2 linked regions of the Cricetulus griseus genome follow. The protein of the gene in region 2 interacts with the protein of the main gene of each other region in a pairwise test. Links are inferred from orthologs where the notes say so. Each region holds a gene or a part of one and is shown on either strand. Other genes may lie near its edges.

Region 1 (15,284 bases), on a different chromosome or scaffold from region 2:
CAATGAATTTATTTTTTTTTAAAAAAGGGGGGGGGGCGCTGGAGAGATGGCTCAGAGGTTGAGAGCACTGGCTGCTCCTCCAGAGGTCCTGAGATCAATTCCCAGCAACCACATGGTGGCTCACAACCATCTATGATGAGATCTGGTGCCCTCTTCTGGTGTGTATGCATGCACTGTATACATAATAAAGCTTAAAAAAAAAAAAAAAAAAAAAAAAGCAAACCTCAGTTTGGTCACCTTTGAGGAACCAACAAAATCTGAAAACTACAAAATAACACAAAAGGAGCCAGGCATTTGGCTTTCTTCCTGAGAACACTGCACCTCAGCATAAATGACAGCTCATGAGACCACAGAAGAGCAAGAGCGCCAGTCTGCAGTGTGCAGTGCAGTGCAGTTCATCACCATTGCACCGACACCACTTGGAAGAAGAGAGGAGCAGTGTGGTGAACAGCTCTGGTGGCAGCATACTGGGGGGGGGTGCAGAGCCTGTATACTAGGGTCAAAATGAATGGGTGGAGGGGAGGGGTCGGTTAGAAATACAAAGGAGGAGACACCCACAAACTGGTGTGTGCCTTAACTCCTCATTCCTAGCAACTGCTGTGGGGTGAAAATCAGTCTGGAGTTATAGACTGGGCTTCCCCCTTACACTAGTGCCTGCTGAATACAAAAGTACCTACCAGAAATACCTGTCAGCATCCAGAAGGCATGGCAAGGCTATGCCGTACTCTTTTCTCTTCAGAAAAGCTCTGCCCTTCTCATGGTATCCCATAGCTAGCATAAGGGCCTAGGAAAGAATGTGGGATCTTAAAAACAGCTTTCAAACAAAATTAGAAAAGCATTCATAAAACAAATTAAAAATCATATTAGCTCTAATGAAAACAAGGCAAAAAACAATTAACTGTTATAATTAGAGCTTTCTCTCACTGAAGCCCTGAAGCTAGACTCTCAAGTCAATGTGGCTGACGTCACAGAGTAGCATCAACTCCTCCAGGGTATTTTTTGTTGTAGTTGTTTTTACCCATCTGCTGGTCTAGATCTAATTCTAGTTTTCCACAAGACTAGACAGGATGAACATCTAGTAACTATTACAGCCTTTCTAAGGAGTGTACAGGTATGGCAGCATGGACCAACCTGTGAGAACCTGAAGGAGGAGACTGTCAGGTGGAGGCCAGCCTGAGCTAAGTAGCAAGACAGTCCAAACAGTGTGTGATATACCCTATCACACACTCATTTTTGGCTGTGGTTTTGTTTTTGATTTGGGGTCTCTCCCATCCTCCACCTTCACAGGCAGTACCATCACACTTCTGAAATATTTGACAATGCCAGCATTTCCAAGATAACAGTTTTACATTTATTTGTATTTGTGAGAGCGTGCTCACGCTCACATACACATTTGTGCCACAGCATGTGAGTGGAGGTCACAGGACAGCTTTCAGGAGTCTTCTTTCCATGCAGGCTCTTGAGATGGAGCTTATACCTGACAGCAAGCACCTTCACCTGCTAAGCCATCTGGGCCCTCCAAATTCACTTTCTTATTATGGATACAGTGTTCTGCCTGATCTCATTACAGATGGTTGTGAGCCACCATGTGGTTGCTGGGAATTGAACTCAGGACCTCTGGAAGAGTAGCCAGTGCTCTTCACTGCTGAGCCACCAATCAGGCCCCGCATATCCATTTTCAAAAGGTTAGGATAGCTTAGGCTGTGTACTAAATGAGGGTTTGGCTTCCAGCCTCCCCAGTTGACCACCCAGCTCTTAATTCAGATTAATTCAAATAGTGAAGCCTACCCCCAAATTGTCATTTAAATACCAAAAAGATACAAACAAAACCAAAAAACCTCAAATTACCTTGATCCCTAGTCAGAACTCTTCATTCTAAGAATTTTCTGGGACTGACTACATCTGTCTGATCTGTTCTGACAACCCAGCAAGCCTCCCACACCTGTACTTACTTTCCTTTCGGCAGGGGGAATTCTGATGGACCTGCCCGTCTGGTTTGCAATGTCTAAGTAAGGCATCGTTTCCGGATCCACCATCTCCGCTGCAACAAAGCCATAGGAGTCTCATTAACTCATGGTTGAACAGCAGTGACCGTGACAACACTTGAGATGCCATACTGTGGAGCACTCCACGAGAAGCAGGTACGCTCTGTGAGCTGACTTGATGTGTCTGAGGGAGGGGACAAGCCAGAATTCTATGCACCTCTCTCTGCCAGGATCTCCAACCCCCTTTTGGTCCTCTGAATGCGTTTCTCCTTCAGCTCAGCCTCATTCTGCTCCTCTTCCTCCACCTGGGAGCTTTTCCTCACATCCTCTTCAGACTGCTTCAACTCTAGCACCATCGCCTTTACGTTGTGAGTCACTCCTTGTTCTTCAAGGGTTTTCCCTGGGAACAGCATAATTGCCTGTCACACACACTTCCTGGGCAACAGTCCATTTCCTACAGTAAATGGAGTCCTTTTTTATTTATTAATTTATTTTGAGTGTGTGTATGTGAGTGTGAGTGTGTGTGTGAGTGTGTGTGTGTGAGTGTGTGTGTGAGTGTGTGTGAGTGTGTGTGACTGTGTGTGTGTGTGAGCGTGAGTGTGTGTGAGAGTGTGAGTGTGTGTGTGTGTGTGAGAGTGTGAGTGTGTGTGTGTGTGTGAGAGTGTGTGTGTGTGAGTGTGTGTGTGTGAGTGTGTGTGTGAGTGTGTGTGTGAGAGTGAGTGTGTGTGTGTGTGTGAGTGTGTGAGTGTGTGTGTGTGTGTGTGAGTGTGTGAGTGTGTGTGTGTGTGAGTGTGTGTGTGAGTGTGTGTGAGTGTGAGTGTGTGTGTGTGTGAGTGTGTGTGAGTGTGTGTGTGTGTGAGTGTGTGTGTGTGTGTGAGTGTGTGTGTGAGTGTGTGTGAGAGTGTGAGTGTGTGTGTGTGTGTGTGTGTGAGCGTGAGTGTGTGTGAGAGTGTGAGTGTGTGTGTGTGTGTGTGTATACAACTTGCAGGAGCCACTTTTCTGCTTCTATCATTTGGGATCCGAGGACCAAACTCGGGTATCAGGCTCTGTAGCCAGTGTTGTTTACCCACGGAAACACTTCACCAGCCTGGAAAATGGAATTCTAAAACCTGCATTCACACTTGGAGACCAGTAGGCCACATTTACTCTTTTCTTATTTTCTTTCTCTTCACCCTACTGAAGTAACAAGTACTATGCCAGGCAGCATAAAAGGAAAACAAAAGTGTAGCCAATATACAAACTTTGCCAGTCTCTAGTTGAGAAATAACTAACTCAAGAAGCCACAGTGCAGTATCAACAGTGAGGCCAGCTCTTGTGATGGTGAAAAGCAGAGGCCACAGGTTCCTGCCTTCCACCCCATGGACCTGACTCAGGCCACAGGTGCCTGCCTTCCACCCCATGGACCTGACTCAGGCCACAGGTGCCTGCCTTCCACCCCATGGACCTGACTCAGCTGCTGCTTCCCTAGGATGCATTTCCTCGTGTAATGAGTAGAAATAAAGACAAGAACAGAAACCATGAAACACAACAAGGGGAAATAGCTAGTCCAGTGAATAGGTTAGCCAAACACTACAGAAAAACCTAGTAAAAATGATGTTGAGGGCAGAGAGGTGGCTCAGTGGTTAAAAGCACTGGTTGCTCTTCCAGAGGTCCTGAATTCAATTCCCAGAACCCACAAGGCTCAGAACCATCAGTAATGGGACCTGATGCCCTTGTCTGTCCAGCAGCCCTACAGGAGGACAGAGCACTCATATACATAAATAAGTAATCCTTTAAAAAGCTTAAAAAATAAACATAGCAAAAGAGAAGGTAAGTCCGCAAAGATGGACACCGACAGCTTCCTTTATCCCTGAAAGCTGAGAATCAGCTTGGGTTTCCTTCCAGAGTCCCCTACAAACAGCTGGTGGTTTATGAGGGCTCCAGCCTTCCTGCACTTCCTCCTTTGCACACTTGCGCAGTGTTCCTCTTCTTGTGTTTCTTTTTCAGAAATGACAACCATTCTACCATTCAAATACAAAAAGCAAGATCCACCTGGACAAAGGAGGTGGCAAGAGGAAAAGTCACCTGACTAGATTTTGTTGGTTTTTTTTTTTTTCAAGACAGGGTTTGTGTAGTGCTGGCTGCCCTGGCAGTCACTCTGCAGACCAGGCTGGCCTTGAAATCAGAGATCTGCCCGCCTCTACCTCCAGAGTGCTGGGATTAAAGGTGTGGGCCACCCAGCCCACCTGACTAGATTTTTGTGGGGGATGGGTGTGAAGGTCACAGGTCATCCAGTGTCTTCCTTAACAGCTTCTTCACATTATTCTTTTCAATTTTTTAGACTTATTTTACTTGGTGTAAATGAGTATTTTGCCTGCATGAGTGCAGGGATACCAACGTGCCATTGGATGTTGTGGAACTGAGCTATTGATTGTGAGCTGCCACATGGTGCTACAATAGAAACTGGGCCATCAGGCGGGCGGTGGTGGCATAGGCGATTACCCCAGCACTCAGGAGGCAGAGGTGGGTGGATTTCTGAGTTCAGGGCTACACAGGGAAATCCTGTCTTGAAAAGTGAAAGAAAAAGGAAGAAAGAAAGAAGGGAAGAAAGGAAGAAGGAAGGAAGGAAGGAAGGAAGGAAGGAAGGAAGGAAGGAAGGAAGGGAGAGAGAAAGAAAGAAAGAAAGAAAGAAAGAAAGAAAGAAAGAAAGAAAGAAAGAAAGAAAGAAAGATGAAACTTAGGGTTCTAGGGACTTCCCCTGGAGATCCATGAGCCCTCATGAACCACCTGAGCTGCTAAAGAGATAATGTATCTCGGCTTCCACTCATGCCTCCTGCAGATTGCAGCCAGTGGTCTGTAAGCCACAATGTCCCTGTGTGCACTCTGCAGTATCAGTGACCCCCATCTCTCTGAGGACAAACTCCATACTGAACAAAGCTCATTGTCGCAGGCTTCTCAGCAGCACTCACCATCTGGGGCAGATACCTGTGACGTGGGGCTTTTGTGAGGTGATGGGGACTGTCTTGCATTTGGCAGCCACTGATAGGCGTGCAGCCCCCACCCCCAACTAATTATAATCAAAATCGTCTCCTCACAAAGTCAGCTGTCCCTTGGAAGGTGAAACTGTCTTCCCCGGCAGAGACTCACTGCCGGAAGACTCCCATGGCCCATTTGCTCTCTACATTCAGAAAGGCCTCTACCCTACACTCAGTTTCCTTGGCTGTCCGCAGAGTGTTCCAACCTGGCCTGTCCACCCGTCTCTCTCAGGGTCATAGAGAGAACTGAGTAACCCAGATCCTCCTCTCAGCACAGACTTCCATTCTGGAATATTCTTGTGGCTGAAATCAATGTCTTTCTTCCCCACTACCCAGAGCAGGCCTGTGAATATTTATTGTAATGTCCTTTTCTGCTTTACATCTTCATTATGGTAAACTTTTAACATTAATTGACTTTGGATAATAAATGCAACATGGCCAGGAAGTTTTCAATAGAGGAAAAGCAAGAAAAAAATACAAAAAAATGGAAAGTCACTACTTATACATCAGATGCATTCTTTGCTATGACATACCTAGTTGAAGTTGTTTCTTATTTATTACGATCTTGATGTAATTTTCTTGAAATCCAAAAGTTTCGGCTATTCTATAAAATAAACACAGTATAAGCTGCAGGAAGCAAATCTGTTATTTGTTACCTACTATGAAGACTTGGATCATGATGGCCACTTAATAGGTTTTTACTTAGAAACACCCAGGCTATTCACCTATTGACCTGTAAACACGACTACAATAAAGCTGGTGCAGTGGCAGCTGCTGGGAGCTGAGTGAGCCAAGCTCTTTCTAAACTTGTATCTGAGCTGAGGATGTCCATCTGAGTCACACTCTCCCAGCATCCTCTGAGAACCCTGCAACTGTCCCATACCACTGCCTACTTGTGGGCATTGAATGAGTGATGCTTCCTCATTCTCCAACAGAACACTTGGGTTGACTGGCCTTTGCTGAATGAAGGTCACAGCAAACAATTAGTGCTAAAAAAGAATGGAATTATAAAACATGCTCTGTTCAGTGAAAAGATGGCTCCTGCTTCTATTCCTCAGTTACTCACTCAGGTACAAGTTGGGCACCTCCTCTGTGGGCCCCAAGCTGAACCCCTCTAAAAGCTGCACTGCATCCAAGAAGCTCCCATGAGCAGGTCTCACTCAGGCAGCCATGAGCAGGTCTCACTCAGGCAGCCATGAGCAGGTCTCACTCAGGCAGCCGTGTTGCCTCTTACCTAGCAGTGTGTGAACCCAGAATGACCTCTTTCTTGTCCCACCCTCCAGGTTTCATTTCTTCAGCTGTAAGAGGAAAACAGGCTGGCTCCCTCGCTTACAGGACAGCTTGAGAGCATTCAATGAACCAGGGTAAGAGGGGCAAACCTGTTGGGAAACATAGCTCAGATACTCACTTAGACCTCAGGTCTCTACCAGTGACATGTAAGCGGGTCTCCAATAAACTTTTCTTGTCCTGTTGAAAAAAGACAAAACTAAATGTACTTGAGTGTGACACTTCTTTGGACTGCTACCCTGCATGTAAGGTTGTAGGGTACTGTGACAGGATGTAAACTCGGGTTCTACTTAAGGACAAACCACTGCCTGTACAGAGAAGCATAAACACAGTCCAGCACAGACTGACAGAGTGACCTGAGTACCCCTTGAGTGCTCAGTGGGACTTGTCACATGGCCAGCCATCATCATCAAAGTGCATGACACTGGAGGGATGGCTCAGTGGTAAGAGCATATACTTCTTTTAGAGGACCTGAGCTCACTTCCCAACATCCACTCGAGCAGCTCACACCTGACTATAATCCACCCTGAGGATCTAATTTAATTTACTCTTGGCCTCTGGGGGCACTTTTGTTTACATGCACAAACCCAGAGACACATACTTATATATAATTAAAAATACAAATAAAATCTTAAGACAGGGCTGGAGAGAAGTTAAGAGCACTGACTGCTCTTCCAGAGGTCCTGAGTTCAATTCCCAGCAACCACATGGTGGCTCACAACCATCCGTTATGAGATCTGGTGCCCTCTTCTGGTGTGCAGATATACATGGAAGAAGAATATTGTATACATAATAAATAAATAAAATCTTTTAAAAAAATCCTAAGACAATGAAATGTTTAATAGAATTTCTGAACATTCCCCACTCACCACCTATCACCAGGTACCATGCCCTACACCCCATCCCTCTTCTTCCCAGCCTTGCAACCATTTCTTTTCTATTTTGGACAAAATAGAAAAGTTGTCTACAAAGTTGTCTATTTTGGACTCTTCACTGAAGGAGACCACAGAGCGTCAGGCCTTTTCTGCACGTTTCTGAGGTGGCTCATATTGCAGACTATTAGTGTTGTGTTGTGTATCTGTGCCACCAGCTGTCTTCTGTGGCGTGGGTGTATCTGTTTATCCACACATCCACTGATGGCAGTTAGGCTTCTCCCTCTCAGCCATCATGAGTGGTGCTACTGTGAATGCTCACCAGTCAGTTTATTCTTGCGTTTCATGTGTTATTGGGAGTGCACATGTGTGATGTGTGTGAGATCCAGAGACTGGTGACAGGTGCCCTGATTACTATCTACCCTTCCCTTCCCTTTTCTTTTCTTTCTTTCTTTCTTTCTTTCTTTTTTTTTTTTTTTTTTTTTTTTTGGTTTCTTTGAGATATGGTTTCTCTGTGTAGCCCTGACTCTCCGGAACTTAAATTGTAGACCAGACTAGCCTTGAACTCAGAGTTCTTTTTTTTTTTCCCCTCCCAAATAGAGTCTCTCATTGATTCACTGGCCAGTGAGCTTCAGGGATCCATCCACATCCCTGTAAGCCTATAACACTCAGGGGTTGAGTTACAGGAACCCTTACACACCTGGCTTTTTACATGGATTCTAGGGATCTGAACTTAAGTCCTCATGCTTGCATGGCAGGCACTTTTACTGTTTTGTAACATGCGTTGTTTTTTCCTGCCTTTGAAAAAAAGTGTGTGTGTGTGCGCGCGTGCGCGCGCGTGTTGGGGCAGAGAGGACATGTGGGTGTGCCATGGCACGCCTGTGAAGATCAGAGGACAGGGCTGTGGTCGCAGTTCTCTCCTGCCTTTAATGTGGATGCCGGGGAATCCCAATGACATCAACAGGCTTTCTGGCAAGCATTTTAACTGCTGAACCATCTCACCTGCCCACATACAAATTTTGAAAATGGTCAACATTGTTTGGTTCTGAGAAGGCTGTAAAGTGCTTGCCAGGAAAACATGCTGACACGTACTACCTGAGGATGAGGCCCTGTGACAAGGGGCTAGTCCTGTTCAGCACTTAGCTGACTACGGTCCATCCATCAGAATAGGACTTCTTCAGGGAGTGTCCTGCAACATAGGACTCTAAAACCTGCTGTCTACTTTGACTTCTTAAAATTTATTTCCCGTCACGTTTATTTTACTTGTACAGGTGTTTCCCTCCATGTATGTCTGTGTATCATGTGTGTGTGATGCCCAAGGAAGCTAGAAGAGGGCATTGGACCACCCCGGGACTGGAGTTAAAGATGGCTGTGAGCTGTACTGTGAGGGCTGAGAACTGAACCTAGGTCCTCTGGAAGAACAGCCAGTGTTCTTAACCTCTGAGCCATCTCTCCAGCCCTACTTCTCAGTATCTGTAATCATTAAACTAGAAAAGGTACAAACACACAGCTCTGTACATGGTTTTTTTTTTAATTTTTTGAAGTTACATTTATTAATTTAGCACTATCACACCATGGAGCACTTGTGATCATAAGACAACTTGTAGGAGTCAGTTCTCCTTCTACCGTTTGGGTTCTGAGGAACACATCCCAGTCATTAGGCTTGATGACAAAAGCCTTTACCTGCTAAGCCATCTCACTGGCCCATGGACTGGCCTTGAGCTCACTGTGTAGCTGAGGATAACCCTGCCTCAGTCTCCCTGGTGAGATTACAACGGCACTACCATGCCCCCCACTTCTGTGACTGATGTTTTAAAGAACAAGCTACCTTAAATGTATCATCACCATTCAACACCTGCAGTTCCTTAAGCACTCTCTGGCAGATTTACAGAAACAAGCGCTCACTGGGCACTGTGGCACATGCTCTAGCCCTAGCACGTGGGAAGCACAGACAGAGTAGGCCCTGGGAATTCAAAGTCATCGGGTCTGTATATGAAGTTCCAGGACAGCAGGACCACACAGAGAGACCCTGTCTCAAAAAGCCAAACCGAACAAACCAACAACTCAATTACAGCAGGACATGTGCAGCGGGCGTTACTCACCCTCCTGAGTCTGGGAGGCAGGAACACCTCGATTGTGGCAATCCCGGTTGCTCGGTAGTGCTCATTCCCTGTGCCGCGCTCAACTGCTTTGCAGCGGATCTCTTCTATTGCGTTCTCCACTTCATCTTCACAGCACTCGAGGCGGTCAGAGTACTTCTTAACAAGGTCCTGGGAGGAGAGACCAGGCTGCAGCTCCCCAGAGCTCCAGTGCAAAAATACGGAAAGAAAAAACTCCCCAAAGCAACGTAACTGACAAGCGGAGGCCCCCTCATACTGAAATTCAATCTCAGCTCCCAGGGAGGATTCAGGGAGAAATTAAAGCACTTACAAATAGTAAACATTTCCGTAGCAAAATGAGAGTAACTGGGATTATTCCGGGGGACAGAAAGGAGGGCTGAGACCCTTATGGCCTTAATATATTAGAAAGTACTTTAAGGAGCAGTGAACCAGGGCCACTGAGATGGCTCAACAAGTAAAGGCACCTGCAGCCACGCCTGTTGCCTTGAGTTCAGTTTCTGGGCCCTACATGATGGGAGAGAATCAAGTTCCAAATTGACTTCTAACTTGTGTGTACATGCACAAACACACACACAACTACTTTTTTAAGTTGTGGAGGCTGGAGAGACGGCTCAGGGATTCAGAGCATTTGTAGCTTGCAGGAGACCTGGGTTCAGCTCCTCACACCCATAGGGTAGCTCACCACCATCTGTAACTCCAGTGCCAGGGGATCCAATGTCTTCCCTCTTTCTGACTTCCAAGGGCACCAATCACACATGTGGTGCATACATGCACTAAAAATACTCACACATGAAATAAATATAAAAATCTTTTTAAAACAGTGAACTATTCATTGTCATTGGATGGGAAAAAATTTAAAGCAAAAAATTCTAATTTTTCAAACTGTATGAGATCAAGACAGATTAAATAACCTTTTTTATTTGGTTAGGTTTTTTCGTTTTGCTTATTTTTTAAAAAAATATTTGTTTATTTATTTATTTAGGTTTTTCGAGACAGGGTTTCTTTGTGGCTTTAGAGGCTGTCCTGGAACTAGCTCTTATAGACCAGGCTGGCCTCGTACTCAGAGATCCACCTGCCTCTGCCTTCCCAGTGCTGGGATTAAAGGCATGAGCCACCACGCCCACTGCTTTGTTTTTTAAAGATTTATTTATTTATTATGTATACAGTGTTCTGCCTGCATGTATCCCTGCAGGCCAGAAAAGATGGTTGTGAGCCATCATGTGGTTGCTGGGAATTGAACTCAGTGCTTTTGGAAGACCAGCTAGTGTTCTTAACCACTGAGCCATCTCTCCAGTCCCTTGGTTTTGTGGTGTGTGTGTGACAAACTCCTACTCATAATACATTTTAAATAGTCATTAGGAGAAGATGGGAAGAATATACCAATATCAATGATATTTACTATATTTTTAAAAATATATTCTTTGAGATAGGATCTCAGCCAGGCGTTGGTGGCTCACGCCTTTAATCCCAGCACTGGGGAGGCAGAGGCAGGCGGATCTCTGAGTTCAAGAGAGCTAGTTCCAGGACAGCCTCCAAAGCCACAGAGAAACCCTGTCTCGAAAACCAAAAGAAAGAGAATGAAATGCCAATAATAGGACTGGGGGTGTGGCTTGGTGGTAAAGAGCTTGCCTAGCATGTGTGAAGCCCTGGGTTCTACCTTTAGTGCTGAAAAAAATTAAATTAAATTTTTAAAAATTAAAAATTAAATTTGTTCTTTACTAAAGGTTTTAGTGCTTCTAAAAATTTTCACAGCTGTGCCTGATAATTTCTGGGGACTCCAGACTAGTATTTACTAAGGGAGTTATGACATTGCAAAAGATTTACATTACATATTAAAAGAAAAATACCTTTAAGGCCAAACCAACTTCTTTATTTTCATCAGTATATGGAGGTTTCCAAAGTTGAATTCTATCTTCCCTTAGAAACTGGGTCAATTTTGCTTGAAGATATTTCTTCTGTGCCATCCTTGAAAGTAAAACTGTAAATCAATAAATCACATCACAGTTTAAAATGCTTTACATATTACCTAATCTACGGAGGTGTTCTGCAAAGTAAGTGGAGTTCCCCTCTGTGCCTGTCAGTTTAACCTAAACTACTGTATCTAATTACATGTAAGTCGATATAAAATGTTTCTTTTGTTGTTCTTTTGGTTCCCCCAACCCCACCCCCAGTAAGGGTTTCCAGCAGCCATCGGCTCCCTAGTGCTGGGACTAAAGGCATATGTTACCATACTTAGCTTAAAATGTCTATTTCAAACTTGCTAATATGTAGCAAGGAGTAGTTTACGCTCCTGTTTTCTGTGCAAGGAGGGAACAAACCAGGATATTACCCATGCTAGGTCTGTGCCCTACTGGCCATTTCTTACCCTGTTATTCTCAGAAAGACAAGTTAAGGGGCTGGCCAGACAGCTCAAGGGTTAGAGTATTGGCTGCTCTTCCCAGAACCCACAAGGCAGCTTACAACCATTTGTAACTTTAGTTTCAGAGGAGCCAAGAGCCTTTTCTGGAATACAGACATACATACAGGCAGAACACACATCCACATTAAAAAAAGAATTTTTTTTTGGGGGGGGGCGGTTTCGAGACAGGGTTTCTCTATGTAGCTTTGGAGCCCATCCTGGCCTGGAACTCACAGAGATCCACCTGCCTCTGCCTCCCGAGTGCTGGGATTAAAGGTGTGCACCACCAACACCCGGCAAAAAGATATTATTTTAAGCAACACAATATATAGCTTGTAAATTCTCTCACACTTTGACTGCTTTAACTCTAAACCAAAGACGAAGCTCTCTGGCAATTAAGCACAAAGAAAGAAAAGCTAGTTTGAACTATGAACTATCAATAATAAATGTCTATATAGTTGAACTTTGGAAATTAAAGAGTTAGCTAAGCGTGGTGATGCACACCTTTAAGTTTTTGGGAGGTGGAGGCAATGTGAGTTCTGGGCCAGCCTCTCAAAAACTAAATAAAATTTAAAAACTTACAACACTACCACTATTTCACTTGTTGTTTTATTTTTGTTTTGAGACAAGGTCTTACTCTGTAGCCCAGGCTGCCCTGAAGCTCAAAGCCTTAGCTTGACAGTGCTTGGATGACAGGCATGAGCCACCACACCTGGCTCATAAGGTTTACTGTTTTCGTTTTCACTGGCACTTCTGAGCACACAATAGCACATCCACTCTATTATTCAATCTAACAGTGGCCAGATCATTTTACAACTGGGAAAGCCCAGGCCCTAGGTTTGTAAAACCACATCATGAGCCAGTGCCAGGACTGGCATGGGACATCTGCCCACATCCGAACTTTGTCTCACAATCTCTTGCTGCCTGTCCTCAGCATGCACCTTCTCTTTTCTACAGAGGAGGGAGTTATGGTGGTATCCCACACCAGCACAGCTATTCCAAGGGGTGGGTGAGGCTGCTGAGAGCTAGCGGCAACTGGGAAGTGTAGTGAGTGTTTCAAGGTTTGCCAAGTCAAACAAAGGAGAAGTACTCACCCCTTATAAATGAACATGAATTTCAGAGTGGAAAATGGATGGATGGATATCACTTAAATGTTTATTTTTTCCCCTATGGAGGGCTAATATTCTACAGCCTCCTGAACATCGTCCAGGAGGTGATATAGCATTATTCCTTTTAAAAGAATGCTCAGATCTGTCTAAAAGAAACAGGTTGTCAGGGCGGTGAATGGAAAGAATAGTGAGTGTGCTGTGTATGTTTTAGTCACTCACAAACCGATCCTCACAGCAAGACACATCAGCACTTAGAAGCATCTGCTTTGCAAACACAGCCACTTAACTCACCAGACACAGAACTGAAATCTACAAAAATTCTGAGAAAAAGATCACTGCATTCCAACACTCAGAAGGCAGAGACTGGCGGATCTCTGTGAGTTCAAAACCAGCCTGATCTACAAGAGCTAGTTCCAGGACAGCCTCCAAAGCCAGAGAAACCCTGTCTCACCCCCCCCCAAAAAAAATCACTGAACCTCATAAGGAGGGTGGCAGAGATAATTTACCGGCACCCAGCTATTTAAAAGGTTGAAAACAGCTTTCCAGACTGTAACCAGTCCACTGTCTGACAAAAGGAGACAAGGTTATCACAACCCTCATCTATGTTCCAATACTGCTGCCAGGTCTGTATAACATAAAATTTTTTTCTGAGACACAGTGTCTTAGTTAGGGTTTCTATTACTTTGATGAAACAACATGGCCACAAAGTAAGTTGGGAAGAAAAGCGCTTATTTAGGTTACACTTCCATATTGCTGTTCATTATTGAAGGAAGTCAGGACAGGAACTCAAACAGGGCTAGAACCTGGAGGCAGGAGCTGATGCAGAGGCCATGGAGGGGTGTTAATACTGGTTTGCTTCCCATGGTTTGCTCAACCTGCTTTCATATAGAACCCAGGATCACCAGCTCAGGAATTGGTACCACCCACAATGGACTGGACCCTCTCCCATTTATCATTAATAGTGAAAATGCATTACTGCTGGATCTCATGAAGGCATTTCCTCAATTGAGGCTCCTTTCTCTCTTGAAGACTCTAGCTTATGTCAAGTTGACACAAAACCAACCAGCACACAGGGTATCACTACTTAGTTATGGCTGTCCTGGAACTCACTATGTAGACTAGGATGGCCTTGAACTCAGAGATTCAACTGTGCTGGGATTAAAGGCGTGAGCTACTAAGCCTAGTTTAATGTTTAAAAAATTAAATCAGAGCCAGGCTTGGGTGGCACACCCCTTTAATCCCAGCACTCAGGAAGCAGAGGCAGAGGCAGGCTGATCTCTGTAAGTTTGAAGCCAGCCTGGTCTAGAGAGTTCCAGGACAGGCTCCAAAGCAATACAGAGAAACACTGTCTCCAAAAACCAAAACCAAAACAAAACAAAAACAAAAACAAAAAAAAAAACCCACCCCCTCACACACTCACAAAAAGACAAACATGGTATGTACTCACTCATATTCGGATTTAGACATAGAGTAAAGGATTACCAGCCTAGAATCCACACTGCCAGAGAAGCTAGGAAACAAGGAGGACCCTGAGAGAGACATACACAGTCCCCTGGAGAAGGGAAAAGGGACAAGATCTCCTCAGCTAATTGGGAGCATGGGGGAAGGGGAGAGGGAGTTAGGGGAAGAATAGAGAGCAAGAAAAGAGAAACCATAATAGAGGGAGCCATTATAGGCTTAAAGAGAAATCTGGCACTAGGGAAATGTCCAAAGATCTACAAGGTTGACCCCAACTAACAATCTAAGCAATAGGGTTGGAGAGATGGCTCAGAGGTTAAGAGCACTAGACTGTTCTTCCAGAGGTCCTGAGTTCAATTCCCCCGCAACCACATGGTGGCTTACAACCACCTTGAACAAGATCTTGTGCCCTCTGCTGGCATGAAGGCAGAAGACTGTATACATAATAAATAAAATCTTAAAAAAAAAACAAAAAGCAAAAACAATCTAAGCAATAGTTGAGAGGCTACCTTAAAAGCCCCTCTCCAATAATGAGATTGATGACTACCTTATATGCCATCCTAGAGCCTTCATCCAGTAGAAGCAGACACCCACAGCTAAACACTGAGCTGAACTCTGGAATCCAGTTGCAGAGAGGGAGGAGTGATGAGCAAAGGGGTCAAGACCAGGCTGGAGAAACCCACAGAAACAGCTGACCTGAACAAGGGGGAGCTCATGGACCCCAGGCTGATAGCTGGGAAACCAGCATAGAACTGATCCAGACCCCTTGAACAAGGATGTCAGTTTGGAGGTCTGGGGTCTCTGTTAGTGGATCCGTATTTATCCCTAGTGCACAAATGGACCTTGGGAGCCCATCCTACATAGAGGGATACTCTCTCAGCCTAGACACACTGGGGAGGGTCTAGGCCCTGCTCCAAATGATATGACAGACTTTGAAGATCCCCCGTGGAAGGCCTCACCCTCCCTGGGGCGCAGAAGGGGATATGACAGCGGATCGGTGGGGGGCAGGGGAGGAGGAGGGAACTGGGCTTGACATGTAAA
Region 2 (15,284 bases):
TTTATATTTGAAATAACAACTTTCATTAAGTAACCAGGTTAAACATTTTAATTAGCGGAGCAATCATAGTTCAAAAGGTGATAATGTTCTTATGAAAGAATCATTTGATATTTGTAAGTAATAAAATGATGCTTCAAAAGTCTGAAACAGCTACAATTTGCCCCTCGTTAGGAAACTGAAAGCGATCCCTCGTTATGCTGAAGGAGGGCAGTGCAGTGGAAGGAGACAAAAATGTCACCTGGAGTTTTATAACAACTTCTGTTTTTCAAAGTCAAATATGACTCTCATGCCTTTGGATTTAAAATTCTTTCTCATCTGTAGTCATCACTGGGTTTTTACTCTCAGCACTGGGAAGGTTTCCGAACATAAACAAGACATGGAAATAGTTAAATGGGAAGGTCTCTTTACTTTTCACAGAAAGTTTAAGTGGCATATCCTGGGATTAACTTCCAGACAGACCCTGAGATGGATGGAAGTCCTTGACCCCATAGTCCCCTCAGCCATAGTTACTGTGCTTCAGAGTATGCAACCGTCTCACAGGTAGAGACTACAGCATCACAGCAGGGATGAAATGAGACTTAGCAAAGGCTTGGTGACCAAAGCACTCACTATCATCCTACTCTCCCAGGTCTTCTTAGAGACTTCCTTAAGACAAGAGGCCCTTAATTGCCCTTGTAGTTTACATACTGTGTGTGTAAGCACAGAAAAGGTCTTGTGGAGCCTGAGAGGGGCAAATGAGCAGCATGTAATAGGATTATTTTCTCTTTAGAATCTTAACCTGCCGAGAAGAAAATTCTATTCCCAGAGGAAGACAGGAGAGGTAAGCTTTTCTTCTTTCATTTCTATTTGAATAGCAGAATTCCAAGTCAAGAATACATACACACACACACACACACACACACACACACACACAGAGAGAGAGAGAGAGAGAGAGAGAGAGAGAGAGAGAGAGAGAGAGAGAGAGAGAGACTCTCACTCTCTCACATGCATACACACTAACACACATACTGACTCACACTCTCACAAACACACACACACCTTGTCTTTTACACACATGGACTCACACATACATGCGCACTCTCTCACACACACATATATTCATACACCACACACATGCACACGTTCACACTCACAAACAGACTTGCTATTGTATCCTTAGAGGTACAGGGATGTACTGCATGACTGTGCATAGTATGAAGGTCCCCTAAAAATCATTATTACACTCAAGAACAAACAGATATGCTACTGGTTTATCTGTTTATGATACTATGCTATTTTTCATTCTTTTAGCCTGAACTCCATCTAATGACAGAGTTTAATTGTAAAACAGGATGCTGTGTTATGCTGGTAGTACCCACATGCATTTCATGTTTACCATCTCCTAACTGCATTTAGGCCACAGCGCAGACATATACCATGTTTATGTAAATATTCTCTGTGGTATTTGTACAAGGACAAAATCATGGAAAAACACATCTCAGACTGTGTCTTCATCATTGAGCCTTTATTGGTACGAACAGGTAATGTGGTCCTTGCTGCTGTGGGGCTGGTATGTTTGGGGTGTCTGTCTGGCATCCTGGCTTCTGGCTAGGTTTGGGTAATGCACATTAGCAGCAGGAGACCAGGAAAGAGATAGTTTGAAGTCCCTTCTGTTCTCGGCTCTTGAGCTGTGGTACTGCCATTGGTCAGGCCCCTCCCACCACTAGTCACAGGTCAAAGTCAGCCATGCCTCTTAGATCAGCACACTCTCTCAGGCTCTCCTGATCACTTTCTCCAGGCTCCAGGCTCCAGGCTTCAGTAACCAAGCCCTGACTGCTGCCCCACTAAATATTCTCTCTGAATGAAGAAGCAAATGAGACAATCTTGATCATGCAAGGGGCAAGACAGTTTGTATAAATAAATACCATTTACACAGAACACAGAAATGTGAGGCCATGCCTGTAGTTTCCGTAAAGAAAGACACCTCCTCTCCTCTTTCTCTCTTTCTGGTTATTCTAACTACATTGAGGGTTTTCTCTTCTTACCTTTTCTTAAAACCAAATTGGGTTTGCTCTACTGTTATATTGTCTGTTGCATGTATTTCCGATTTCAGTACTGCTGTTTCCTTTCTGTCCTTGGCTTTGGATTAGGTTTGTCTTACTTCTGCAGTTCCTAAGGTGTCTCTCTTAATCTTTCTCCCTGCCCACCTCCTTCACATACCTCCCTCTAAGTGCAGCTGTAGGCCCTGCCTATGAAGACAGTGGCTTGCTTATTTCTCTTTCTTTGTCAGCTGCCATCATTTTCAATTTCCTTTGACTTTTCTGTCCCACTGACTGTTTTAGGATGGACTAATTTCTCACACTTGTAAATAGCCCATGTTTCCTTCTGTTGTTGGTTTCTAATTGCATTTCATGATGGATGAAGTGTATAGGAATATTTTTCAATCCTTCACAATTTGTTGGGTTTGTTAATATAACCCCATATAGACCATATAGACTGTATCCTAGGAAATGTTTTCTGCGCCCTTGACAAGTGGCTATATTCAAGGGTTGTGGGAGGCAGTTCTTGTAGACGAATTTTAGGTCTGGTGAATCAAAGGGGTGGCATTTAAACAATAAAATGTATCAAAGAACAGAAGGAAATATTACTTCCCTGAATTTGAAACCAAAATAACTTGCTTTAAATTCAAGTAACAGGAACACAAATCAACAAAAAAAATTAAGTTCCAGCAGGATACAGTTGCCTCCCCAAGTCTCTGGGTTTAGAGTTATTTGAGTTTTTTTTTTTTTTTTTTAAGAATGTCTGTAAGGGAATGTGTGACATCATGTTATATAAAAAATAATTTATGTAAGTGTGTTTGTGACATCATGTTATCAAAAAACGAATGTCTGAAAGGGTGTGTTATCACCAGATCAACACTTTGCCTTTGGGCCTAATCAGAATGACCAAAGGAGAAGTTAACAAAACAAAAAAGGAACTTGGTTTATTTCAACCCGAGTTTGTTCAGGTCCTAAAATAATTCCTCCTGCCAATTCTATTTTAGAAAACAGACTGTGTTAGAAATCAGACCTTCCAGAATTCTTTCTTCGAAGTGACTTTGTTTAGCTATTTCCAAAGGACACAAACTCCCAAAGCAGCCACTCTTGAGTCTCCTGGAAAACCCTCAATAAAGGCTGTCATGCAATGTAATGAGAATAATTATTTATTATCCTCTGTTTAAAGAGTTTGAGAATGAGGAAATGATGTTCTTCATTTTGTCTCTGGATGCTTTCGGTCAGCTGAGGCACACTCTGCAAGAAACTTGGGTCACTTGTCCCAAGTACGTTTGTCTTTAATGTCAGGCAGCAGGGCTCTCAGCGGTGTTTTATTTTTTCAGTTTTACTTACAAGCACATGCATGCTGATGCTCTTGGAGGACAGAAGAGGGCATCAGATCCACTGCAGCTACACTTAGATCCCCAGGGGCAGGAGTTACAGTCAGCTATGAGCTACCAAGTGGGTGATGGGGACCAAAGTCTGGTCCTCTTCAAGAGCAGCAAGTGCTTGTAGCCATCTCTCCAGCCCCTCTTAGAACTGTCTAATGTGGTGAAATACTATCAGTTGCTGTCTGTGTTCAAAACAAGATACTAAAGCTGGAAACTTCTTAAGACTTCTTAGGACTCTCAATTTCATCGGTGTCAATCAAAGCACACTGAATGAGCTGCAGGCATCGGGTCATACATACCTGTGAGGGGAGAGGTGCTCGTACGAAACAATTGTACTTGCTGCCTTTTTGTCAATGCAATTAGAATGATGAAATACAAAGAACACTGAAATAATTCAGAAGCCCAAGTCCCCAAATCTGAAAGAGCTCTTTAGCCTTGTGCATTTTAGGTGTGTGTGTTTGTGTGTGTGTGTGTGTGTGTGTGTGTGTGTGTGTGTGTGTGTATGTGTGTGTCTGTGTGTGTGTATGTGTGTGTCTGTGTGTGTGTTTGTGTGTGTGTGTGTGTGTGTGTGTCTGTGTGTGTGTATGTGTGTGTCTGTGTGTCTGTGTGTGTCTGTGTGTATTTGTGTATGTGTTTCCTTCAAATTAAAACAGAAATTGCCATGTAAACCTGCAGATCTGTTGGTGATGGCTGTACTGTGGTGGCTGAAGTTTAGGAATAAAATAAGTCTTCATGTGTAGGTAGCATGGAAGCTGTTCACACTGAGGATTGGCTTAATGGCTACTAAGTTTCTTATGAACCTTCATGCTCTAAAATTTTTAATCTACCCAAAGGAAGCAGTAAGGTATGTCAATTAAGAAAAAATATGCTTCCATTCAATTATATAATGAGGAAATATTCAACCATCTACCATTAGTTTGGAAAACTAATGAGAATTACATTTCATAAACCCTAAGCCATTCTTTAAATATGGCAGATGCCCACATTGACTGGCATTATAAGGATATTTATCACTGACATATGCCCATGGATAACCACACTATACCCAGTCATCTCACTGGACTGTGTCAGAGGAGTAGATGATGACTTAACTATCTGACACAGTCATTACCAGTAACCAAGGTTCCTGATTTAGTCACTAGGTCTATCAGCTCTTTAGGAATAGGTACTATGTCTTATTTAAATTTTTACCTGCAGCACCCAATAACACAGTAGCTGTTTGCTTCAGCACACACTGAACTCAACTGTACTGAGACGAGTTTTTTTTCCTTTGAATTCAGTTTCTCTTTTTTCACATGGGCTGTAGTAAACTCTGATCTGACATGGCCTTATTCACAACCAGAGAAAAATATATTCCCCAGCATCAGAGATTTCTTTGTAACAAAATATTTACTATGAAAATTTTGTCATAAAGTCATACTTACTAGGGAACAAAATGAAATAAAACAATATTTTTAACATATAAACTTTACTGATTAATAAATGCATTAAAGTTAAAAATCAGCTTTATGTGCAAGACATATTGTGATAAGATAGAAACTTACTATTTTAAAAATGTAATGTGTTTCTTAGTTAGTTCACTAGTATGTTTCTTCAGCTAGCTGGTTCTCGTATTCAACACTTATGCAATTTCATTTATAAAAATGATACATTTGGCTTTTAGGAGATCCAGCTATCGTGTAAAGCAGTCTATATGCAGAAGTACAAGATGTATTCTATTTCTCTGAACTTCACTTCTGGCTTCTTAGTAAGTATGACTGAATTCTACATTTATCTGCCAAAGATCCAAACAGCTATTTTAGTTTAATAGCTAACCTCACGTGACTCGGTCAATCGCCAGACACTCTTACCACAGTGGTATAAAGGTCCCTGTTTACTTGTGTTATGGTCCAGGTTTTAACTCCATCCCAGTTGGCATTGATTTGCATACACTTTGACAGATAGCACATTGTGCTATTTTGGAGAACTAAATACAGGATCCTCGATGATGCTGTAAACAGTTTTAATGCTGATGACATTTAAACTCAGATTTGATTCAATAAAAGCCCACATTATTTTCAGAAACTCCTAAGTGCTAGCTAGCCTCCTTTACCAGCACACCTTGATCTAATTCTTGTTTCTTATTCCCATGTTAGGAAAAATTGACACAGTTCCTGAGAGATCCAGGTGTGGGTAAGAATCCGAATTGCAATCACCATGAGTAACAGAATTCTCAGCCCTGCCGGGGGTCATCTTCTTTCTTTGTGGGTTGATTTGGAAATTATCCTTATTAGATAACAAGGTGGAGTGCCATTAAAATCTCAGGTGGTAGTGACTGAAGTGATTAACTTCTTACATACGATACATTCATTTTCTGTTTGCTTAATGCCTCACTCTCTCCTCTCCCCCTTTCAATAGCCTAGCTCACAAGAAATCTGAAAAACCGGAGATCAAATCCAAAGACAAAACCCGGGACAGCTCAGCCCCCAGGAGGTCACCTTGATGGCCAGGCCAGCTGGAGTCAGCTGCTCTGTGTTCCTTTCATTGAGGCAGTCTTCACCCATCAGAGACGTGAGGTGCTGTAGACACTCTGCGTGCCCCTTGGACGCTGCGACATGTAACAGATTGTTTCCATTCTCATCGTGGATTTTGTCCAGATTGTCTGCAGCTAGGTGTGGCTGTACAGAGAGGGGGAGGCTTCAATCAGTAAGTCAAAACAGGACACAAAGGAGGTTCTCCTTTGGAAGGGAAGGAGGAACAGCTCACAAGGGCCCTGGTGGCATAGAAAGCCTCTAGTTAGTCAGAGTTCCTTGCTATTTGTCTTTCTTGCAACATGATTTAGAACAGTGATTTTGGACTAGTGGTTCTCAACCTGTGGGTCATGACCCCTTTGGGGGTTGAATGGCCCTTTTACCATCAGAAAACGCAGATATTTAAATTATAGTTCATAACAGCAGCAAAATCATAGCTACGAAGTAACAAGGAAAATAATTTTATGGTTGGGGGGTCACCGCAAACTGAATCAAGGGGGTCCCAGCATTAGGAAGGTTGAGAATCTCTGCTTTAGAACATGTGCTCTCAAGGGACAAATGGTTTTGTGAAAAAGGGTCACAGGGCTAGGACCGATGAGCTGCGAAGGTTTCTAGTTGGATTTTTAGGTCTCTGAGGTGACACTGATGGCAAGCAACAGCTTCTCTGTCTCTGTCACTGTACCGCTAAGTTCTTGAGGGACAGGGCTATGCTTTATTGACTGTTGGAGGTTTGTTGCATGAATGAAGTACTTGTTTGGGGGGGTTGACTTGTAAGGCTCGCTGCCTCTACATGTTACCTAAAGGCTGTGGCTACCAGAGCATCCACAGGAACCTCTAGACAAGCCAGTGACTCCCAGGGGTATCTGGGATATCTGGAGGAAACTTGGTTCTTTGGCTGTTTTTTGTTTTTTGTTTTTTTTTCTGTCTCTAGTGAAATTCAGTCCTCACAGTATGAAGTTTTGATAGAATATTTTGGGTAAACTGAATGGTATTAGCATTAGGGACTTCTGACTATGTGAGGCAAAGAGAAAGAATTAACCAAAGAGAGTCAGAGGGAACAGCCAGGAAAAATGGAAAAGACATTTGCAAGAGAAAAACAAAGTTGTGGCTTCACTTGGTAAAATCATTCAATCATATTGTCCTGTTTGCAATGCCAGTCCCAATATGTTATAGTTTATCTGTGCATGCTTCACATTTTGGGGAATCATGATGCCTCGATGCCGTGAGTTTCCTGAATGAGACTTTAATTATCCTCACATTATGAGCCCAAGGTTGGTACTATTTGACCAGTGTCTAGGAACTAGAAAAGAACAGTGCAGCAGATGGAATGCTGTTTCAGCTGAGCTTTCCTCAATAGATACTTCTTATATCAAGTAACTCTGTGTCTGGAATCTTTGGTGACATGCTGGAGCAAAGCAAAAACCCTGTGTGTGTGTGTCAGAGAACAATCAAACTCTAGGGGAAGCTGTATCTGCAAATGTTTTCCAACCCCCCAGCCCAACTCTCCTGAATAATGATCAGGGTGAAACAGAGAACTCTCTGTTCACAGATCTGGCAGGTCTGCCATCAGCTAAAAACTGACATCCTCACAGAAATGGAGGGAGAGCATGGGGAACCATTTGAAAAGCAAAGCAAAAAAAAAAAAAAAAAAAAAAAAAAAGGCATTACAAGTCATCTGGAAAACAGTGCTGGCTCTTTGTTTTGTTTTCCTTTTAGATTAAACGTCGTTATTCCAGCTGAGGTCAGACGATGTTAAACTGCACTAACAGTCTTCTGGAGCCATTTGTGTCCTGTGAATTAACCCCCTAAATTTAACGTTTAAAACTCACGCCTTAAAGCAACAAGATTCAGTAAGAAACAAAACAAGGGGAGTGAAGAAAACATGTTTTAGGAAGTTCTCAAAGAACTAATTAAAAAAAAAAAAAACTTCACAGAAAGACATGAAGCAAAACTCATCCTGTTATAAGATGGAGTCTAAAGACAGACAGACAATACTCACCAAGAGTGATATCTGGCCTTCTTTCACAATGTTCACTATACTTCTTACTTTCTTCAGGTATTCATTCCTTTCTTCTGTGCCTTGGGCATTGGTCCAGTTCATGCCATTGACCTGCTCTTCTGCTTTGGCCCCTGCTGCTGAGGATGGCAGGTGGAAGGCCCTGAGCTTGCAGTCTGGCCCGGTCTTCTCGATTTTTCGACTATGGGGATCACTAAAGGCCTTGTTTAGGAAGTCTTTACTGTGGTTTTCTGACTCATATGCAGGGACACATTTACCCAGAACAGGGGAGTTCTCAGAGTCTTCTGTGGAGAGCTTGTTCTGGTCCCGGAGGGTAGTCGATGCTTTCCTTAAGTGAGGGCTTTTCACAGGGGAAAGAACACAAAATGGAGTCATGTTGACTGTGGAGTTCTCAGTGCTTCCAATAGGGCAGGCTTTACCAGAAAGGCCGTTGATGGTTGTGCATAAACCCAAAATTCTTTTTTCAGAAGTCACCTTGGTCAGTGGGGCCAGCTGTTGACTGGATTTAATGTAAGGCACATCCAGAATTTCGTCCATGTCAAGGTCATAATGCTCCAGCTCACCCAGTGCCTGGCTGGGCTCAGAGCCCTTACCTGGCAAGCCCCTGACTCCATCTTCAGGGTTGAGTTCCTCAGGCTGGGAGCCCTGGTCAGTCTCCCCCCCTTTCTGGTATTCTACTGTACTGTTCTTTTGGTCATCATTTTCATTGTTTTCCAGAGTCTCTGGCTGATGTTTCAGTGGAGAAACTCGCTTCACTGGGCGGAACTTGCTGTATACATCAGCGATTCCAGTGGGCTTTTGTGGGTTTGTAATGAGAGTTGAGACACCACAATTCCAGCTAGAGCTAGAAACTGTTAAAAAATAATAGAGGAGACTATTAAATTAGAACTGAATACAGTTTGGCCACGTAGGTAGACATGGCTCACTTACGTTATGTTCACAGTAGGCCCCTGTGTAAGGGAATAAAGCACGAAGGGACATATATCCATAAAACTAATGCTTCATATTTACCACTGCAAGGCAGAGAAAGATGAGATAGTCATGATATAATGACCCAGAACTAACTGAAGTAGCAATAGTGATAAAAGCAGAAAGTTAAATAAACCCTGACAGATAGTTTATGGCTCAGCATCTCTGGTACTATTTACATGTTTGTCACCACCCTGAAACAAAACCAAAACAGAACAGGGATGGGTTTCCAAACCAAGCAGTGAACAATGATATATTTGCACAATACACTTGCAAAAGCATGTACTAGCCTGTACACATATCTCTAATTTGTAAGACATCCATGCATTCATGGAAGAAAACATAACTTATCTTCTACAAACTCAAATTGTGACCTACTATGTGACTTGATAGTTTTCCATTTTATGGTTAGCGACAGCAAAGAAAAGCATAAAGTGGTCAGGCGCTCGTCTGTCCATGGGAGGCAGGCCATGGTTGAGTCGACCCATTCTATACTAAGCATCTTAGACAACCATCATGCTGGGCCATCTCCTGGTGCTTCTCAACCTATGACACAACACAACACATTTCCATTTGACAACAACATGCTCTTTAGAGTGACACCACCCTCCATGTTGGGAAAGGTAGAAACAAGAGCAAGGGGAGGCAGGAAGGTCAGATAGGGAAAGCAGACTAGTACTCAAACTTGCCTTTTTTCAATTTATCTCATTTTTGTGCAGTTAAAATAAAGATTGCATGCTAGCCTACATTCAGGTGGTTGAGATGGACAGTGAAGTAGTCAGACACATTTGGAGATAAAAGATAACAACCACAACCTCTTCTAAGAAGCCTGAATACAATCAAGATGCTGGTAGCATGTCTCAGAGTGGCTGTCCCCACAGCACGGCTCTGTTTTGTCTGAGACACTCCTTTACTAGAAGGCAGATGACCCAGCATTGTCACAGACTAGCAGGCTACTTTATAGGTTTCTATCATCTTTCGTAAGGCAGACAAAGCTTTCTTCCAACTATCCTCTATCCTATGAAACAAATGCAGTTGGGAAAGTTTCATCCCAGAGTAAGCAAATCTACCTGTCTTTGCTGTTGGGCACAGCCAAAGGGCGAGAGACTCTGAGACAGCACAAGTGCTCAGGTTTGTAACCTTCACCCCATCCAAGATAGGATTTCTCTGTGGCTTTGGAGACTGTTCTGAAACTAGCTCTTGTAGACCAGGCTGGTCTCGAACTCACAGAGATCTGCCTGCCTCTGCCTCCCGAGTGCTGGGACTAAAGGCGTGCGCCACCACCGCCCGGCTAAGGTTTGTAACTTTTATAATATCCTTGGTAATGACTTATTCTTACAGTTAAAGAGTTCCCTAAATTTGTGTTTCTAGTCATTGTTTATTCTGAGATGTGTCCTAAAAGCATTCAGAGAAGTTATGAAATAAAGCATATAGTGTCCTGAGCCTGCCTACCATAAAATCCTAAGTTCTGTTCTCCAAATGGTTGACAATGTGGTATAGGGTTCAGAAGGTCTGTACTGCACAGTTCACCCCGGAGGCTTTTCTGACTCTCAACCTTTAGAAGCAAAAAGCTTCTAAAATTTATAGGGGGAGGATTAGTTTCTTCTCAATGAGCAACATAAAGCAAGGGATACTCAGGAGAAGGAAGGCATCTAGATGGCCTCCTGCTTCTCTTACCCACACTGTTTTGTCTCGAGTTCTGAGCTGTACACAAAGCTTGGCCTGCAGCAGACAATTAACAGACACAAGTATGTGAACTTGAATCTCACTTTGCACAACTCATTTGATCTTTTAACATGCATAAAGTGAATCCTTCTGAGGGATTTACAGCTTAATTTCACAGGGGGAAATAAGTTCCCGTAATAAACCCAAAGGAGTGATAATCGCCAGAAGAAGCTAGATTCTTTAAAGTCATTTATGAAATGTCAATATGCAAAGGCAAAGGCTAATTATTCCAATCAATTCCGTATAAATGTAAAAATTTTCTTTTATATGTTCTTGTCTTTCTAGAAATGCAAAGCTATGAAAAGTTATCATTTGCCAGAAATTTCTGCCAAGCCATTCTCTCTGCCTTAAGAGCATACAGTGCCTATTTCACATAAAACAATAGGGAGACAAGACATGGAGCTTAAAAGGGGTAAATAGGCATTTGATTTTACTAACTTTCTCCAAATCTATAAATATTGTGGGAAAACCTATTTATAGACATTCTAAGACACATACTTATTGTTTGGCATGGTATCTGCTGATATTTTGTCAATTACCTTGATTTCTTTGGAGCTCATAAGAACTATGAATCTTAGACTGTATTAAAAATATTTAAAGCCACATGACTTACTGGGTCAATGCAACCAGTGTCCTCTACTGATATATTTATGTATTATATAAGGTCACAGGTTCAAAAAGGCTATTCTTTTATGGTGGCTTTATTTACATGTGAACTTTTTTCCAAGTGATACAGGGAAATGGGTACCATATGTTTTCCAGCTGTTCTGTTCTGACAGGAGCCATTAAGAGTGCTCTATGTAAATGAATTCTGTCTATGTTTTATGAAAACACTTCTTTCCACAGAAAGGTCTAGAAACTGGAGAAGGAGCATCAATATTTGGGAATGTTGTCTTTTTCCTCATTCAAGCCTATGGCTGATTTGTGGGCTTAGGATGAAATCTGTGCCCTCTAGCCTGTCTTGATTACCAAGGGGGGAAACCTGCTTATGAAAAATGAACTAATGGGTTTCATGAGAATGCTCAAATTTGTTGCCATGTCACATATTTGGATGGGCAGAAATGCAGCAAACAAAACACAAACATTCATTTATTTTTCCTAAGCTGGGCAAATACACAGCATAAAAGATTATTAATGGCAGACAAGACTTTCCATTTCAATTCTTTAAGAGTACCACTAAATTCACTTTATTGTTGTTTTGCTCCAGTACCATCACAACATTCTAGTCATCCATGGGAACAAATTTCACACTAACTATGGCTACTGGGAGATTTTTGAGGCTAGATTTTTTTCACTAGCTATTATGTACAAATTCTTGACACATGAACATAATTTAAGTTTCTGAAGAATTTTTATCTTAGTCTTTATGAGTTCTATGAAAACAATGTCTGTGCCTAATTTAGCTCTCTATTCTTCAAAACTCCCAGCAGATTGCTTACCTAAGAAGGTTCTTAATGATGTTTTGCTTTTAGCTGCATTCACCTTTAACATCTTAGGACAGTAAATATGTTTAGTGTGCCTTCAATTTGTCTACCTGATGAAGTCACAAAATTTTAAAACCATCAGTAGTGAGCTGGATGTTCACGATGATCATTTATAGGCAAAATAGTCTCCTATCATCTAGCTGGCATTTGAGCACTAGCAAAGGAATTTCAGTTATCACATAACCGTCAAAAGTCAGCCATGTTCCCAACAAGCAGTAATTCGCATCTAGAATATGCAAAGTTCTCTGAATGGCAATGCATCTGGATTCAGGGGTCTGACTCTCTCCACCTCTGTCTTTTTCTACTCTTTCCCTTCCTCAAGCCCCCTCACTATCCTCTTGATCCTGGCTTAAACAACCACAGTGTCATTTATATAGTCTCTTAAGTCATTCACTTAAGGCATTGTCTGTCCCTCTATTCTCTTGGTCCCTGCTTCACATTGCTCAGACAAAAGTTTGTGGCTTTATCCCAAATCACGCTTGAATCTGGACCATTTTCCATATCCTCACTATATTAACTGGTTACACTGGGATCCTTTTCCATAACCATCACACACTGGTTTCTTGTCTCCCATTGGTCTCTCTTTCTAGTCCAATTAATCCCTCTTTGGGTAAGATTGACTTTGCCACCCAAAATTAGCTTCCAAACCTTAGGTGTCCCATACTTCCTAAAATGACACTGGTATGGGATGCATATCCCCACTGGGTCAGACACACCCGAGGACCCATGATAAACACACCTCATTTACTGTGTGAGAAAACTATTCAGTGTTCAGTCTTCTTTCGCCTCATTTGTTTAAGGAGTCTTAGTTTGGTGCTAGGATTTAATCCCACTCCAAATTTTAGAATATCCTTTAGTAAACAGACTTCAAGTTTCAGGGTCAGTGGATTTCATAAGCAATGAATTAACTGGAGGTTTTTATGTTCATCACATTTCAATGATGTCCTAGGATTCATTTCAAGTATACTGGTTTTCTGTTTACAGCATAACAGCTTCTTCTAAAAAACAAATATACTTAAAAGTAAAGTGCTGTAAAAATATGTTTTATAAATAATAGCATACATTATTTATATTTAAAATAAAAAAGGGATTTTGGGGTATAAAACATAATTTATAATATTACTTAAGTAGCAGGGTTTGTGGACACTGTTTTGTTTGTTTGTTTGTTTTTGTTGTTGGTTTTAGTTTTTGTTTTGTTCCTAACAAAATTCTTTAGCATGGTCTGCAGTGTTTCTTTTGTTCACTTTATAATTTACCTTCTTTTTACAGCATTCATGATTCCCAAACCCCTGCTGTTTCCTTCTCCTCTATTGCTCAGTCCAATCTTTCTGGATATGCTATGGCCATCTATCATGGTTCTTACCTTTGGGCCTGTTCTGACTTTTCTAGAAATCCCTTGCTGTTGTCTCTGCCTGTGACTCATGCTCAGCACACATGAGTCATCCAGTGTTGCCCTGTTGAGCCACTTCTTCTGACTCTCCCAGGGAATAGCTGCTCTTTGCTTCTCAGTTCCCTGGAGATATGCCTGTAGCAAGTCTGAAAGTGGTACACCAACCTCACTTTCTCCTGAGGGTCCCTCGAGAAGCTACTTCTGCTTGTAACCAGCTCATGGTCTAGGAAAGATCCTCAAAGACAATGGGGTTCTGTGACCCAGTCTTTCCATGAGTGAGTAAAGGGGATACATTGAACCAAAAATGCAAAATATAATAAATAATTAAGTTTTGTTACAATGAGTCCATTTTGGGGGGCTAAACTGAGGCAAGAATTTGAAAGATAATAAGTTATTCAAATGGCTTGGACAGTTAGAAGGCTTGCTGCATAGAGAAGTACTTTAATATATCCTCTTAAGAAGTTCTTGTTGAATCAAAACAACTCTGAGATACCATCTTACTCTGTCAGAATGGCCAAAATCAAAAACACCAATGACAGTTTATGCTGGAGAGGATGTGGAGAAAGGGGAACACTTCACTGCTGGTGGGAGTGCCAACTTGTACAGCTACTTTGGAAATCAGTATGGCAACTTCTCAAGAAAATAGGAATCAGTCTACCACGAGATCCAATAATTCCACTTTTAGGCATATACCCCAAAACAAGCACATTCATACAACAAGGACATCTGTTCAACGATGTTCATAGCAGCACTACTTGTAATAGCCAGAAACTGGAAGCAGCCTAGATGCCCCTCTACTGATGAATGGATAGAGAAAATGTGGTACATTTACACAATGGAGTACTACTCAGCGGAAAAAAACAATGGAAGCTTGAAATTTGCAGGAAAATGGATGGAACTCGAAGAAACCATTCTGAGCAAGGTAACCCAATCACAAAAAGACAAACATGATAAGTACTCACTCATATGTGGATTTTAGATATAGAATAAAGGATTACCAGCCTACAATCCACACTGCCAGAGAAGCTAGTAAACAAGGAGGACCCTAAGAGAGACATACATGGTCCCCTGGAGAAGGGGAAAGGGACAAGATCTCCTGAGCAAATTGAAAGCACAGGAAGAGGGGGGAGGGAGCTATGAGAATGAGAAGGGAAGAAGAGGAAGAATGCAGAGGACATGAGGGAGCAGAAAGGTTGAGTCATGGGAAGAATAGAAGAAAGGATATGTGATAGGTAGGGTTTTAGTTGGGGGGCGTGGTAGGGGAGGGGGGAGGACGGGAGGGAGAAGGGAACTGGGATTGTCATGTAAAACAATCGTGTTTCTAATTCAAATAAAAAAATCTGAAAAAAAGAAAATCAAATGTAAAAATAATTAAAAGAAAGAAGTTCTTGCTGGGTGGTGGAGCATGCCTTTATTCCCAGCACTTGGGAGATAGAGGCAGGTGGATCTCTGAGTTTGAGGCCAGTCTAGTCTACAGAGTGAGTTCCAGGACAGCAAGGGAAACACAGAGAAACCCTGTCTTAAAAAAACAAAAAATAAAAAAAGTTCTTTTTCATCTGGAAAATAACAAGGTTAGACAATATCATTGCTAAGATCTGACCCTCCATAAATATCTCTGATGATGTAGAATGTCAAAAATAACAGGGTTCTTGATTCTGACTCACAGTGAAACACTATAATTCTTTTGGATTCATGCATTTTACCAGATCCTCACAAATTTATAATTATGAGGCTGAGATGATTGCTGACACAATCTGGCTCCTAGGCTTGATAAATTGTTTTCTTT

Evidence for each region.
Region 1: the proteins of synphilin-1 (region 2) and Nub1 interact in a two-hybrid assay, tested with the Homo sapiens proteins (2 studies listed by BioGRID). The link is inferred for Cricetulus griseus from reciprocal best matches to the Homo sapiens genes SNCAIP and NUB1.

What each region holds. Positions count from the first base shown.
Region 1 is NC_048601.1:97,823,462-97,838,745, forward strand, and holds part of Nub1 (NEDD8 ultimate buster 1), read right to left. Parts: intron 11,244-15,284; coding exon 11,126-11,243; intron 9,429-11,125; coding exon 9,261-9,428; intron 6,467-9,260; coding exon 6,408-6,466; intron 5,604-6,407; coding exon 5,533-5,603; intron 2,386-5,532; coding exon 2,203-2,385; intron 2,042-2,202; coding exon 1,953-2,041; intron 785-1,952; coding exon 678-784; intron 1-677. UniProt on the Homo sapiens protein: Specific down-regulator of the NEDD8 conjugation system. Recruits NEDD8, UBD, and their conjugates to the proteasome for degradation. Isoform 1 promotes the degradation of NEDD8 more efficiently than isoform 2.
Region 2 is NC_048595.1:185,752,994-185,768,277, forward strand, and holds part of synphilin-1, read right to left. Parts: intron 8,782-15,284; coding exon 7,913-8,781; intron 6,061-7,912; coding exon 5,881-6,060; intron 1-5,880. UniProt on the Homo sapiens protein: Isoform 2 inhibits the ubiquitin ligase activity of SIAH1 and inhibits proteasomal degradation of target proteins. Isoform 2 inhibits autoubiquitination and proteasomal degradation of SIAH1, and thereby increases cellular levels of SIAH.